Xenopus tropicalis: one gene and its partner. The protein of the gene in region 1 interacts with the protein of each later gene in a biochemical or structural test. Links are inferred from orthologs where the notes say so. Each region holds a gene or a part of one and is shown in the gene's direction. Other genes may lie near its edges.

Region 1 (2,911 bases):
ATGAACTCCCTGCCAGATATAAAAGAAGTAAAAGACAAAAGCATATACAAAGGTTCCAGTGCAGTCCGAGTGTATAAAATGCTCCCGCCTCAAATAAAGGCCGAGAAGAAAGGTAAATGCTTATTATGAGCCATATGTCACCATGCATCAGAAGCCATTATGATTTCAGGTGCACACATATCTTACATTACAGAGCCTGAAAATTAATATTTTTAATAAGATGTATAAAAGTAATGTCCTACCTCTTTTTGCTTTTGGGTTTGCTGAAAATTGTAGTTCAGTGCTGGAATGACCCTGGATATTTTATTTCATTCACAGAACGCAGATCCAAGGCAAAAGACTCCAAAAGCAAAGCCAAGAAAAAGGTACAGTTATTTCTGGAAATAGCAAACCAATGCTTTGTCAGAAATGGCTATAGGCATATATATATATAGCAGCTACTTGTGGCTTACGTGTGTCTGTTTCTTATGTTGTTGCAGACTGAGGAAGATGAGGAATCTGTGAAAACTAGCCCTTTGCCTGCAGACCACAGCTACACCTCTAATGTGTATACAGACCAAGAAGACATGGATTCTGTGGATGCGGCTGTAATGAGTACGTTTATACTTTATTGCATAAAATAAGTACAATTATTAGGTCATATATGAAGCGAATATGGGTGGATTTCGCTGGAGCCAGCTTACCTCACTTTCAGCATGTCAGAATAAGTATATACTTCTATTTAGGGCTCATGTACAAGCACAAGTCTTTGCTTTCCTTTTCTTATTTGTAGCAGCCTGTTGATAAATACCTGTTGATTGTTTGCTATGGCCAACTCAATTTGTACAAATTAGCCCCTATGTTTGTAAATCAGACCCTTGCGGTTCTAAATCATAGACTTAAACCAGCTACCAAGTAGCTATGGCATCTAGTATTTTACCCTTGGGCCCCAGGTTTTTAGGAACTCTTCCCCTTTGGCACTTACAGATTTGTATCTGGCTCATATTTCATTGCCTGGCTTCTAAAGGCTTCTAAACAGTGAACCTAGTGCAATATATATTCAGCTACTCTACCATAAAAAAATAAGTAATATATATATAATATGTGTGTGTAAAATATTTTGTGCTCACATGCAGAAGTGCTAATGTAAATGTTCTCCACAGGTATCAATGAAAGTGTCTCTGGCAACTTAGATTGGGACAGTCAACTTCAAATGCCATTGCCTGACAGCACAAATGACCTCTACCCTTTCCAGGTGTCACCCTTAAATTCATCTTCAGAAGGTAATTTGTGTGCCTGCTATGTCATATACAATATACAATTTTTATGAATGTCATAGGAATTAATGCCCTTGCCACTAGGCCTAGGAATTGAGGGCAGAAGCAGAAACAGGACCAGTTTTATTACACTGAAAATATAGCAGATCCAGTGAACCTCCATTACTATTTCATTTTAATGTGATTGTGCCATAAAAACCTAACCCCCAAGGCTGATAATGCATCTAAGGCTATTATAGATATTAGATGGAAATGGTCTGAAGCTGAATTAAATGTTTAGAGTATAAACACATTAAAGGAGAACTAAACCCTAAGAATAAATGTGGCCAGAAACGCCATATTTTATGTACTCAACTTATTGGACCAGCCTAAAGGTTCAGCATCTCTATAGAAGTAATGACCCAGTGCTTTAAAGTTGTCACAGAGGGTCACCATACTGGATTCTGTTAGAAGCATCTGCTCACATGCTCAGTGTGCTCTAAGCAACTGGGCTGCACTGGTTTCAGAGCTGCCATGCAGTAATAATTTTTTTATTTGCTAATAAGCCTTATATTTTGACCCTTATATTGTATATATACAAAATATACAAAATATTGTGAGTTGCCCCTAAGCTTAGTAACTAACAACAGCACAGAGCATATGCAGTGAATCAGCAGAAAATAAGATGGGGAGCTAGTTGGGGCATCTTTGGAAGCACAGATCTTCCCTGCTAAAGGGTTGTGGGGGCCTTGGGCTGGTACAAATCCCCAAAACATATTGTACAACATTTCTAGCTTGCTTCTAAGCTTTAGTTCTCTTTCAAGAAGATATGGGATATGACTAACCAACATGGAAAAAGGAAAACTACAGCCCCAAACACTGGAGGTCTCTATAAAAATATATTGCATAAAACAGTGACAGAGTTGCATTATTTGCATTATTTCCAGCACAAAATGGTGGCTTAAGGGAAAACATGCAAAAGAGCAATATTTACTGATATATATTGCAGTTTGGTAAGATTCTTTAATAGGCCACTAAATATGATATAAACTATCTGTTGGTTACGTATTCATTGTGGGGGTATAGTTTTCCATTAAATTCCAAGTGTTTATGCGAAAGCACAAAGGCTCACTTTGCAGAACAAGCTATGCTCATATGTTTTGCTGAACCTACATTATTAGAATACAAATATCCTCTAAATACCACTAATGCTACAAGTTATTTATTTCATTTTTTTTATTTACTTGCAGAGGAAGATGAATGTATGACCCTTACAGAGGACTTTCTAAAAGTAAGTAGCTTTCTTACATTTTTTGCTTGGCTAATGCTATATAGATAACTGTAATGATTCTACAGTATGCTAAGACATAATGTTTATCATCCATATTCCATCCTCTATTCCAGTTGTTAGAGCCAAGCACAGAATGGCAGCAGACAAGCATTGATGGCAAAGGGTTTTTCACCAATGAATCTGGCCTGCAGACCTCCTGCCTTACTGAAATAAGCTCTGCATTCGATGGCACGTTATCGGGTTCGTATATTTTTCTATGTTAATTTTCCTTGTTAAGAAAAAGTCGAATCTGTGTGCCATAAAAATGTAATAAAGAATCCCAGCACACTAAAATCCACCTATTTTACTGATATGTACAGAGACTGGCTGCACCCCTGAAAGTGCG
Region 2 (4,534 bases), on another chromosome or scaffold:
GGTCCAACAAAAAAAGGGGTATATCCCCCTGGCTCTGCACCCACAAGGGCGGCCACGACCGTGGTAGGGCCACATATTCCCCTGCATGTCTCTGGAAAACTCACCCCAGTCATGGGAAATTTTAGTGACTCCCCTAGAACATGGGCTATTGTCACCCCGAGTGCCGACTGCGGGATGTGTCACATTCTTGCTGGAAGTGGCAGTTTTCTGCCCCAAAACTATGGCCATATAAACATTTATAGGAAGAGGAAAGTAAAGGGGAAATGATTACTAAGAATGATGCCTGCTTCTATCTGGTGGCAATAGCCAACCAGGGGCAGGTGCAGTTGAATCCTTATGGGCCGGTATGAAGCCAGTATGGTGTAGGGACAGGTCCAGTCCCACTGTGCTTGTTATCATTAGGTATGTGGGGGCGGTATTTGGGTGTGTGGGTGGCACATCTCAGGAGAGGGGTAGGGCGACTCCTGCATGGGACCAAAGTAGTGTTAAATTGCATTTGATCAAGTTTTTAAGTTTTTCACCTATGTTATAGAATGGCCTATTCTTAGCAACTTTCCAGTTGGTCTTTATTTTTTGTATTATTTGAATTATTTGCCTTCATTTTCTGCCTCCTTTCAGCTTTCAAAAGGGGGTCACTGACCCCAGAATGCTCTGCAAGGCTACAAGGGGAGATTTGTGATATAGAAGGGGTGGGGTGATGATGAAAGAGGGGGAACTATCTCTCAAACAGGATCAGGGAAAGAGAAAGGGTAAGTTTTAGGTGGATTCTGGGTGGTTTGGGGCTTTAGGGGAGGGGCCAGAGGCTGAACTGTATGAATTGGAAAGCAGGGCTGTTGATTTCTATAACATGGTGTATGCTGTTTGGCCAGGGTCAGACTAGGCACTTGCAGCGGCCCCCCTTCCCGACCACTCCTGCCCTGACGCATTAATTTTATACGCTCAGGGGAGGACGTCGGGTGGGCCCTTCACCCCCCAGTCCGACCCTGTGTTTGTCTGATTGAAAATGTAACCCCCCCAAATATTAAAGGGGATATCAACTCTCAATGAATGTGTTGCCTAGTTAAAAAAAGTATGACTTTCTATAGTGATAATATTTACAAATAACTCTTAATCCATTGAACATTAGTAACGTGGATTGGAGAGTTGCTTAGAATTAGCATTTTCTTTCATTCGTCAAAATATTATTTTTGGGTTTGTGACCCCTTTATGGTATATAGTCTGAGGGTATGTAACCCCCAGTATAATAAAGGGGATATAAACCCACAATGGATGTTTTGCCTAATCAAAGTATGACTTTCTATAGCAACGACATTTACAAATAACTTTAAATCCATTGAACATTGGTAACATGTATATTGGAAAGTGGCTTAGAATTAGCATTTTCTTTCATTAGTCAAAACGTTATTTATTTGGGTTTGTATATTTGGGTTTGTATCCCCTTTAATGTATATAGTCTGCTTGTATATATAAAAGAGGGTCAGGTTGCTGCCCCAGATCTCTATTATGAACATAGGCAGTGTATCCATGACTATCACTTAGTAATTAGACTGTAAGCTCCCCTGCACGAATCCCTTCCTGACACACAGGGATGCATATATTGCTGTACAGGGGCCAGTTAGGAGAAGTAATGGCACAGAGAAGTTACTACTTTCCGTAGCAATATAAGGGAAGTCAACTCACTTCCCCCTTTAAATTTAAAAGCAGCCTTTTCTTTGTGTCCCCAGTATGTAGCTGGGGAGCGGGTCTGGGTCCTAGGGTTCTTCTTCAGCTCTCGGGGGGCTTCTCATACAACAGGACCCAGGACTGGAAGTGCCTTCTACAGAGAGCGGCTAATGGCTGTGATTTGATTGGTGGAGAGAACAGAATGAACTGCAAATGGAGCACGGTGCCCTTTAAGGTAGGCTGAGCTTATTGGTGTTTGAAAATCTTCAACAGTATCTCTATCACAGGGGCAGCAGCGAGGGTGCAAGGGAAAGTGAATGTAGCCAACTGGAGGGCTAGGCCACGAAATTGGTTCATCTGTATTTCTTGTATTGTTTATAGGGTTTAATAAAATTAAGTTAAAGATCAATACAGCTGTTATATGTGGTGGCCCCTTAGGGCCATGCAGGGTTCTGCACCAATCTCAGTGTTATATAATTCTATTATACCAACATTGTGCCAAACCAGAGCGCCAGGTTGTACATTGATCCATTCCATTGACCCTGGCAACCGAAAAAAAACCTGACCATTACTGTTGTACTTATTTGTTGGGTTCATCTTTCTAATTAGGACCCCCCCCCCCGTTCAAATTCCATCCTGATTTCCAAAATGATACTGGGTTGCTAGGGTAATTAAAAAATTAAGACTGATTGTAGATTGTTTTCAAATACTACTGTCTATGCCAGGGGTCCCCAACCATTTTTACCTGTGAGCCATAGTTAAATATAAAAAAGTTAGAAACACAAACGTGATCCTAGCGGGTGCCCAATAAGGGCTGTGATTGGTTATCGGTAGACCCTTGTGGATTTCAGGAGGCTCTGTTTGCAGTACACATGGTCTTTATGCTTCCAAAACTTGCCTCCAAGCCAGAAATTCAAAAATGGGCACCAACTTTGAGGCCACTGAGAGCAACTTCAAAGGGGGTGAAGAAACAACATGTTGCTTACGAACCACTGGTTGGGGACCACTGGTATACAACATACTAAGAGTTTATTTCAAGGTGAGCTACTCCATTACAGAGATTCACCATACGTCTTAATGTGCTCCTACTTGAGCTTTATGAATAAGGTGCAATTAATGGTAACATACTAAGTACAAGTTGTGTGAATGTGCCAGTCAGCTACAACTTTGTGCGATCCATAATGAAGAGCTAAGATGCTGTGCAAGCCAGAGCTAGGTGCTACAAAGGGAGTCATATATAGTCTGTCAAATGCCCAGTGTGCTAGAACAGGGATCCCCAAACTTTTTTACCCATGGGCCACATTCAAAGGTAAAAAGAGTTGGGGAGCAATGCAAGCATAAATAAGTTCATGGAGGTGCCAAACAAGGGTTATTGGGTATTTGATAGACCCTCTATGGACTGGCAGGCTAAAGGAGGTTGTGTTTGTCAGTTTTTATGCAACCGAAGTGTGCCTCCAAGCAAGGAAATCAAAAATAAGGACCTGATTTGAGGCCACTGGGAGCAACATTCAAGGGGTTGGTGAGCAACATGTGAGCTACTGGTTGGGGATCACTGTGCTAGAATGTATGGTGATTTGGACTTTGCACCAGGCACCCCTCTCATGGTCAGATTGGCCTACACGAGTACTTGGTGGTCTCGAACCAAGGTCAAGCCAATTCCCATCAGCCCTTTCCTTTTTCCACCATAGGTCTATATGACTTCTTTTTCATTAGGCACTGTCTACACCTAATTGTTGTGAGCCCTCAATGTCAGGTACTTTGTTGGGCCCAGTCCAACACTGTCCTCCTTAAATGAGCCTTTAAGTCCTGGTGCCGTGCGTGATGGCTGGCTAATTTCTACATTCAGATGATTTCAAAATGTGGTCAATTGTGTGGAAGGGCCACTGAGGCTTTCTCAATTCCTCATAGAGAGGTTTTTCCTAATTTACTCAATAATCCGCAAAGCCGCTACTCATAACATTTTACATTGTTTTATTACCCACATGAAGCTTGAAACTTTGTGTGGTTCCAGTTCAGCTACGTTCAGTGCTGGTATCTTTTCATGCTGCCCATTTTTTGCCACACCTGCTGGAGTGCTGCCCCATGCATGTTTCTCTATATGCCTTATGGTAGAAACTATACTTGTCAGACATAGATCTTGTATTTTTAGTCCATTTGAAAAGATCCTGCCTCTTGACCATGTGAGAAGAACTGACCATCTGTTGGGTTCACATTCAAAGTGAGGTTGATTTCATAACAGTTGCAAAACATGAAACATTCTTGGAAAATAAACTAGCACAGCACCTTTGGTAGGCATCTGGGATACCAGTTGGTCATGGACTTTGACTAAATTGGCAGCCTATAGACCTATATCCTTATATTTCCTCTTAGAAATAGGGCAGGGGTGGCACCATTTAACATTTTACGGATAACCAATTCAGTCCCTGGGCTTCTATATCTAACGCAAGTTCCATCATCCATGTTATTTTATGGTCTGTACTTGTGGCAATGAGCCTTTAGTTCCAGTTGGTTGGAAGCTTCTAAGTCTTGTGATCCCCCTTTTCCTCTCAGGGACAACCAAGAGGATATTGTCGATCACAAGAACCCATGTGGCATAAAGCCTATAGGCAGGTGTTTATGGGAGTACAAATTGTACTGGGCAGAGTTATGAAGCCAAATGCTTATTAGAGTAATATTAAACTGGAAAATTTAGGTCAGAGGAGGGGGCAATGCTTCTTTGTGGACCAACATTCATTTAGGATCTACTTAACCTATAAAAAAGTAAAGAAATATGTGTTCACACCATATATTATCTTAATAGTGCTTCTAGGAGAGGCAGTAAACATTAGTCCTGAATGGCACTCCAATTAGCCCTCAGAATGGCAATTTCAGA

Evidence for each region.
Region 2: the proteins of irf1 (region 1) and spi1 form a complex in vitro, tested with the Homo sapiens proteins (2 studies listed by BioGRID). The link is inferred for Xenopus tropicalis from reciprocal best matches to the Homo sapiens genes IRF1 and SPI1.

The regions. Positions count from the first base shown.
Region 1 is NC_030679.2:36,223,288-36,226,198, forward strand, and holds part of irf1 (interferon regulatory factor 1), read left to right. Parts: coding exon 1-112; intron 113-318; coding exon 319-365; intron 366-479; coding exon 480-594; intron 595-1,142; coding exon 1,143-1,262; intron 1,263-2,485; coding exon 2,486-2,526; intron 2,527-2,639; coding exon 2,640-2,766; intron 2,767-2,911. UniProt on the Homo sapiens protein: Transcriptional regulator which displays a remarkable functional diversity in the regulation of cellular responses.
Region 2 is NC_030680.2:15,892,495-15,897,028, reverse strand, and holds the start of spi1 (transcription factor PU.1), read left to right. Parts: upstream 1-1,721; 5' UTR 1,722-1,864; coding exon 1,865-1,897; intron 1,898-4,534. UniProt on the Homo sapiens protein: Pioneer transcription factor, which controls hematopoietic cell fate by decompacting stem cell heterochromatin and allowing other transcription factors to enter otherwise inaccessible genomic sites.